2 linked regions of the Macaca mulatta genome follow. The protein of the gene in region 2 binds, or shares a complex with, the protein of the main gene of each other region. Links are inferred from orthologs where the notes say so. Each region holds a gene or a part of one and is shown on either strand. Other genes may lie near its edges.

What was found. The genes of interacting proteins can lie anywhere in the genome.
Region 1: GTF2A1 (region 2) and POLR2B share a complex: the UniProt entries of both Homo sapiens proteins name them as parts of the TBP-based Pol II pre-initiation complex. The link is inferred for Macaca mulatta from reciprocal best matches to the Homo sapiens genes GTF2A1 and POLR2B.

The regions. Positions count from the first base shown.
Region 1 is NC_133410.1:76,509,920-76,514,077, reverse strand, and holds the start of POLR2B (DNA-directed RNA polymerase II subunit RPB2), read left to right. Parts: upstream 1-1,350; 5' UTR 1,351-1,400; coding exon 1,401-1,419; intron 1,420-4,158. UniProt on the Homo sapiens protein: Catalytic core component of RNA polymerase II (Pol II), a DNA-dependent RNA polymerase which synthesizes mRNA precursors and many functional non-coding RNAs using the four ribonucleoside triphosphates as substrates.
Region 2 is NC_133412.1:154,407,396-154,410,905, reverse strand, and holds the end of GTF2A1 (transcription initiation factor IIA subunit 1), read left to right. Parts: intron 1-2,730; coding exon 2,731-2,838; 3' UTR 2,839-3,002; downstream 3,003-3,510. UniProt on the Homo sapiens protein: TFIIA is a component of the transcription machinery of RNA polymerase II and plays an important role in transcriptional activation. TFIIA in a complex with TBP mediates transcriptional activity.

The DNA.
Region 1 (4,158 bases), on a different chromosome or scaffold from region 2:
GTCACAAGCGCGCACGCGTACTAGGGCCCGAGGCGACGCGCGTGTTAGAACCGAGACGAAAGCGAGTGGGTACCTGGGAGCTGTCCTGGTTAGTTTTGCGTCTAATCTCGTGAGTTCTCGCGATTTAAGCGCCGAGACTGAGAACCTACTTAAAGCTATAGTAAAGGCATTGGAGGCACTGGAGGATTGAGCTAGATGGGCAGAAGAGAGCGATGAGCGTTTTGAGTTTTTTCACTTTCAGGCTTAACGCCTCACTGCTAGCCCAAGCCGCCCGTAATAAATCACATTTAAAAAGGAGCTTCCGGGCCGGGCGCGGTGGCTCACGCCTGTGATCCCAGCACTTTGGGAGGCCGAGGCGGGCGGATCATGAGGTTAGGAGATCGAAACCATCCTGGCTAAGACGGCGAAACCCTGTCTCTACTAAAAATACAAAAAATAAACCGGGCGTGGTGGCGGGCGCCTGTAGTCCCAGCTACTCAGGAGGCTGAGGCAGGAGAATGGCGTGAACCCGGGAGGCGGAGCTTGCAGTGAGCCGAGGTCGCGCCACTGCACTCAAGCTTGGGCGACAGAGCGAAACTCCGTCTCAAACAAAACAAAACAAAACAAAACAAAACGGAGCTTCTGGCCGGGCGCGTGGCTGGAACGGTAGGCGAGCGGGCAGCTCGCCTCTAATCCCAGCACCTTGGGAGGCCGAGGCGGGCGGATCACCTGAGATCGAGACCAGCCTGGCAAACGTGGTGAAACCCCGTCTCTACTAAAAATACAAAAATTAGCCGGGCGTGGTGGCGCGCGCCTGTAATCCCAGCTATTTGGGAGGCCGAGGCAGGAGAATCGCTTGAACCCGGGAGACGGAGGTTGCAGTGAGCCGAGATCGCTCCACTGCACTCCAGCCTGGGCAACAGAACGAGACTCCATTTCAAAAAATAATAAACAAATAAAAATAAAAATTGCTTCGTGTTTTGGTCTTTATAAAGGCAAATCAATTGAGCATCCCAATGTCGCGGATTCACAGAACGAGCACTTTTTATTAATAAGTATACTTGGCTTTGTTTTCAGGTGTCGTTATTTGTGCAACGACATTGAAAAACAAGCAGAAATAAAACATTAACGGGACGGATGCGACAGCAGATTGCGGGAGCTGTCCTCTCAATCAGCCACCGGCAGCGGCGGCCCACAATTTGCGCGTGTGCAACCCAACTCCCGCCCAAGCTTGCCCTACAATTTGCGCAGGCGCAGATCCTAACTTTGGCGTCCCTGTGGGCGGCCTCTTGTGTGAGACGCACAGTATTCTGGGAACGTCGGAGACGGAAGTTACTTGGTCTTTAGCTCCCGACGCTGGTGGCTTCTGCGCGCTTTTTGTCTTTGATTTCGAGTTAGGAGCTCGGGAACCGTTTGGCAATATGTACGACGCGGATGAGGGTAGGTGAAACACATGCCACGGCGGTCCAGCAGGGAAGCTTGGGGAACTGATTGGATTGATGATTGGGGCCTTCCCTCCCGCCGGCCGGACAGTCCCTAGCCTTGTTCCCACACCTTTCAGGCCGGGAACGAAACTGGGGTAGGGAGAGGCAGAGGGTGCAGGGAACACAGCGTTAATGTTCCCGGTTAGGTTCACTGCTGCTCTGCACTTTCTCGTTCCCTTAGATCTGATCCTCGCTTCCTGTAGTGAAGTAGCGTGCAGAACCGTAAGATAAATTCCGTGGTTTTGAATTTGAAGCAAAGAGCACCCTTTAAAATTTTTCCTTAAAGCCACAGTCGACTTACTGAATAGCTGAAGTGTTGAGTGTCAGCCTGTGTCAGGCAGTGTGGAAGGCCCTGGAAATATATCGGGACAGAGAATATCGGGGGGGAGGGTGGGAGGACTCGGTTTAGTCTGACATTTCTTCATGCTGTTTGTAAGTCAAAGTAAATTGTCTTAAAGGATGGCGTTTAAATTTCCTCTTCTCACAGTGTCACAGTTCTCACAATGTCACAGTTCTCAGATGATATGTATTCTGCTACACTGGACCAATGTATAATATCTGTTTCTTTGCGCATATGGAATTCTTAGTAGTGGCCGAGCGCGATGGCTCCCACCAGCACTTTGGGAGGCCGAGACGTGCAGATCGTTTGAGGCCAGCCTGACCAACATGGGGGAAATCCCGCATCTACTAAAAATACAAAAATTAGCCGAGTGTGATGGCGCGCGCCTGTAATCCCAGTTATTCGGGAGGCTGAGGCCACATCGCTTGAGCCCAGGAGGCAGAGGTTGCAGTGAGCTGAGATTGCGCCTCTGCACCACAGCCTGAATGACAGAGTAAGACTCTTGTCTTGAAAAAAAAAAAAAAAAAAAAAAAAAAAACAGAATTCTTAGTTGAATCTAGTGTATTTTCATAGCTGCCTTTTCTATTCTCCATATCTACTAATGCAAATCTTATTTTCTTCTAGCTCTCAATTCCTTGGCCACCCCTTACATCTCCTCTCTTTATTCCCTCAGCTACTTCTGATAAATGAGATGGAAAAAATTGAAGCAAAAGCTTAAACTTTTTAAAAAATTTTTTTTGAGAGATAGGGTCTGGCCATGTTGCTCAGGCTGTTCTCAAACTCCTGAGCTCAAGCCATCTGCCTGTCTCAACCTCCCAAAGTGCTGGGATTACAGGCGTAAGCCACTGTGCCCAGCCAAAAACTTAAACTTTTAAAGCTGTTTAAACTTCTGTCTCATTTATATCTTGTGTTCTAGAAATTTATTAGCATCATTATAGTACTTGTTCTTTTTAACTGTTATCTCAGTAGAAGAAAAATTCGAAAAAAAGATTTTTTAAAGCATAATTTTTGGCTAGGTAATACATTCTCAGCTCACAAGCCAGAAAGTTTAAAAACGTTAAAGTGGGGTGGCTGGTACAGTGTCTCACGCATGTTATCCCTGCATTTTGGGAGCTTGAGGTGGGTGGATCGCTTGAGCTCAGCAGTTCAAGACCAGCCTGGGCAACAGGGGAGACCCCCTCTCTATAAGAAATGGAAACATTAGCTGGGTGTGGTGGTGCTCACCTATAGTCCCAGCTACTTGGGGAGCTGAGGCAGGAGGATCGCTTGAGCCTTGGAAGTTGACACTGCTGTGAGCCAAGAACAAAGTGAGACCCTGTCTCAAAAAAAAAAAAAATTAAAGTGTCAGGTCTCCTTCTTACCCACCATCTGCCCAGTTTGAACTCTCCACAGTGGGTAACTACTGTTACAATAGATTTTAATCACTCCGCAGTTTCTTTTTTTTTTTTTTTTTTTTTGACAGTCTTGCTCTGTTGCCCAGGCTTGAGTGCAGTGGTGCAATCTTGGCTCACTGTAACCTCCGTCTCCCAGGTTCAAGCAGTTCTCCTGCCTCAGCCTCCCTAGTAGCTGGGATTACAGGCGTGCACCAACATGCCCAGCTAATATTAGTATTTTTAGTAGAGACAGGGTTTCTCCACGTTGGCCAGGCTGATCTCAAGCTCCTGACCTCAGGTGATTCACCTGCCTCAGCCTCCCAAAGTGCTGGGACTGCAGGTGTGAGCTACTGCGCCCAGCCTCCACAGTTTCTTTATGCATATTTGAGCAAATATAAATGGGATTTTTCTCCTTTTTTAAAGACAGAAAGTAATATTCACACTTTTCTCCACTTTTAGATTTTGCTTAATGTATCTAGATTTTTGTATCAGTACACAGAAAGCATCGCCCCCGCCCCTTCGCCCACTCCGCCAGTTACTTAGTTTGTGTGGATGTACCATAACTTAAGTAGTCTCTTGATGGATATTTGATTTATTTCTAGTCATTTTCGGGTTCAGTGCTGTAAATGAATAATCTTGTACATATAATTTGCCCAAGTATGTCTGTGGGATGCATTTCTACATATAAAATTGTCACGTCAAATGATACACACCTTTAACATTTTGCTAGATGATGCCAAGTGACCACCATAGTGGTGATTTGTACTAGTTTTGCAATGTATAATGATCCCGTGCAAAAAAGAGTTTATCATAGTTGCTTTAGCAGTGAGCCTACATTTTATTCTTGCCCATGTCCTCTGAAATGTTTATTAGATAATGTCCTCATCAGTTTTCAGCCACTATGTGAAAATGTCAGATTTCTGTCATCCACATGGAAACAAGTTAAACTTTTCATTTTTTCCTTTTTCTTCTAGTATTTTAC
Region 2 (3,510 bases):
AAGATCAGGGAAAGAGGACAGGTTTGGTTTCAGTTTTAAATAGGATAGTCATAATAGGTCTTTGGAGAAAATGACATTTTAGCAAAGACTTGGAAAGAGTTAGCCCTATTGTCTGGTGGCAGAGTCTGTTGTATGTGAGGAACAGCGAGGAGGCCTGTGTGGCTGGACTGGAGTGAGGGAAGGGGAGAGTACAGTAGTAGGTGGAGAGGTAGAGTAAGGGAAGGTGGATGGTAAGGATTTTGTAAGGACATGGCTGTTACTCTTAAGTGAATTAGAATGTTACTGGAAGGTTTCAGTGAGACAAGTGGTATGAACTGATTTAAATTTCGAAAGGATTACTTTGCTTTCTTTGTAGAGAGCAGAATATGAGGAGGAAGCAGAGGTTGCTGAAACAAGGAAGACTATTTAGGGGGATATTATTATAATTCAAATGGGAGATAATGGTGACTCAGCCTATGGTGATGGTATTAAAGTTGGTGAGAACTAGTTGGATCTTGGATTTGTTTTGAAGGAAGAGTGTTAACAGGATTTCTTGACTCTGAGATGTGTGGTAGAAAAGAAAGAGGAATCAAGAATGACTCTCAAGATTTTTTGATGAGGATTCTGAAAGAAGGATGGTGATACCATCAATTCAGATGAGGAAAAGCTGCATGTGGAGCTGGTTGGACATGCCAAGTCTGGTATGTCTGTTAGACATTCAAGTCATCAATCTTAAGATGCTACATTTAGCATTTACGTAGTGTATTTAGACCAGAGGTATAATTAGCTCTTAGTCCAGCAGTCTCTGCCCTACCTGCTGTTTTACCTTTATTGTGCTTTGTTTTGCTTTAATAAGTAAGAAAAGTTTGAATCCAGAAGAAGAACATGAGAGTGGTTTCCAAATAAGATGAAGGTTGTTTGATAGAGTGATTTTTTTTTTTTTTTTAAAGTCTCAAAAAGCAGAGCTGGGATCAACAAATGGAAGTTGGAGAAGCAGATTTCAGTAAGGGTAAACTCTGAAAGATTTTACAAGAGAGCTGTTCCAAAAAGGAATAACTTAATTTGAAATTCTTTGCTTACTGTTTCTAATCGTATTTAAGCAGATACTGCACAACCATTTGCCAGGAATATGTCATAAAGAATGTTTGCACTGGGAGGTTAGGCCATGGAATTTTAGGAATGAGATCTTGGAAAATGTCTGTACCTGGCCGGGCGCAGTGGCTCACACCCATAATCCTATCACTTTGGGAGGCCAAGGTGGGCGGATCACCTGAGGTCAGGAGTTCAAGACCAGCCTGGCCAGCCTGGTGAAACCCATTTCTACAAAAATTAGCCAGGTGTGATGGTGAGTGCCTGTAATCCCAGCTACTCAGGAGGCTGAGGCAGGAGAATCACTTGAACCTGGGAGTGGGAGGTTGCAGTGAGCTGAGATCGCACCGTTGCACTCCAAGCCTGGGCAACAGAGTGAGACTCTGTCTCAAAGAAAAAAAAGAAAAAGAAAATATCTGTACCTGTTGAGCATTTCTGCATTATTATGTGAAACAGACTGATTTAGTAAAAAGAGTACTGGACCAAGACTTGAAAATCATGATTGTCACTTAGTAGCAGTATACCTTTGGTCAAGCCATTGAACCCTATCCAAGCTGTCATTTCTTCTTCTGAAAATGAAAGCCTGAACTAGTTGATTTTTTTTTTTTTGTTAGGTACCTTTAGATCATAGAATAGGGAGAACCATGGGGCCTTCTTTGCAGAAGATGTGGAACTTGAACTGAACATTAAATAATTAGTGTGAATTACTGGGAAAAGGAAGAAAGGTCACTTCAGTTCATTAAGTTTTACAACTCCTCTCCCCCACCAAATCCATGGAATTACAAACAACTAAGGACTATAAGTGAAGGCAAAGATGGGAGTGCCCAGAGCCTGCCCTTCGGCTCTTTTTGTTTAACTGTGGATGTACATAGTTTTTGAAATCTGCTGTAAGTGACTGGATGATTAGCATCCTTTAGATGTATATTTAAAATACTGCTATGTATAAGGTTCCACGTTAGGTCTTGAGAGCGCTATAAGGAGTTTTATTTTGGTAGAAGAAGCGAGTCCATACTTGTATTACTTAACAAATAATGTAAGAAATGTCAGTGAAAATACCATTGGGAATTTAACAGTGGAAAAGAATAGTTTTAGCTGGTAAGATTTGGGAAAACTTTGTGGAGGATAGTCTTTTGGAGGTAGACCTTGAAAATATGCAAACCTGGTAGAGAGAGAAGACATTTTGTAAAGAAATATTTTTTAACTATTTTAATGAACACAAGTACTAAAAGCTATAAAATAGTACTAATTACAGATAAATTTGTTTTTAAACCCACCTAGTGAGGTTTTTTGTTTTTTTTTTTTTTTTTTGGTGTGTGTGTGTGTGTGTTTGTTTTTGTTTTTTGGTGAAAAACTTTATTAAGAAACCAATTTTTAGGCCAGGTGCTGTGGCTCACACTTGTAATCCCAACACTTTTGGAGGCTGAGGCAGAAGGATCACATGAGGCCAGGAGCTCGAGCCCGGCCAGCACAACATAGGGAGACCCTGCCTCTGCAAAAACAGAATAAACCAGTTTGTAAATACAATACTGTAAATACTGTTTTGTTGAGGTGGGGGGGTGTGGGTGTGCGTGCGTGTGTGTGTGTATGGATGGATTTTTTGTTACTTGTTTTCTCTGTTTTCTGATTGTATCTCTCAATTTTTTAAATTTTGCTTTCGTTTAGATACACAGAAGTAAAAACAAATGGAAATTTCATCTCAAGGATGGCATTATGAATCTTAATGGAAGAGATTATATATTTTCCAAAGCCATTGGAGATGCAGAATGGTGAAGAGTTGCTTTTTTTCTTTTATAAATAAAAGAAACTTAAAAAAAGTTTAAAGCGGACAGTTTGAAACTTGGGGCATACGCCAACCAAAACTTCATTTCTGCATGTCAGAAAAGTGCAGTAGAAGCAAAGCTACTGGAACAAAGATAGACCTTGACAACATAGACACTACTTACTGGCAAGCCATGGAACTGTAGCACCTGGGGTTGTTGGGTGGGAGGGTTGGGGTTTTGTGTAGGAAAACCATAATTGTTGATTTTAAATACAGGTACCTGCCACCGGTAATTAGCATGTAAAGCTTTGTCTATATTCCTTCCTCCAACTTGGGTTCAATCAGAAGATACTTGTTGGAATGAACTGAAGAAACTTCGGTTTTGATAGATTGAACTGAAACTGCTTATTGTATGTGGTTATATTTGGTAAAAGTTGCGTGTGAGCTTTTTACAAAAGGGTAAGAATTGTGTTGAATTTTAATTCACTTGTATAAGAAAACAGTTTAAAACTCTCATAGTAGGTCTTAAATATTTTTACTTGCTATTCTCCCTCAGTGATATATACCTCTTCCTTTCCAGCTTTATGAAACATCTATTTAAGATTTAAAGTTATCAGTGATCATAGTTTGGAGATAAAATTTGACCCAGGAATGAATATTTATTTTAATTAGGTTTTCATACT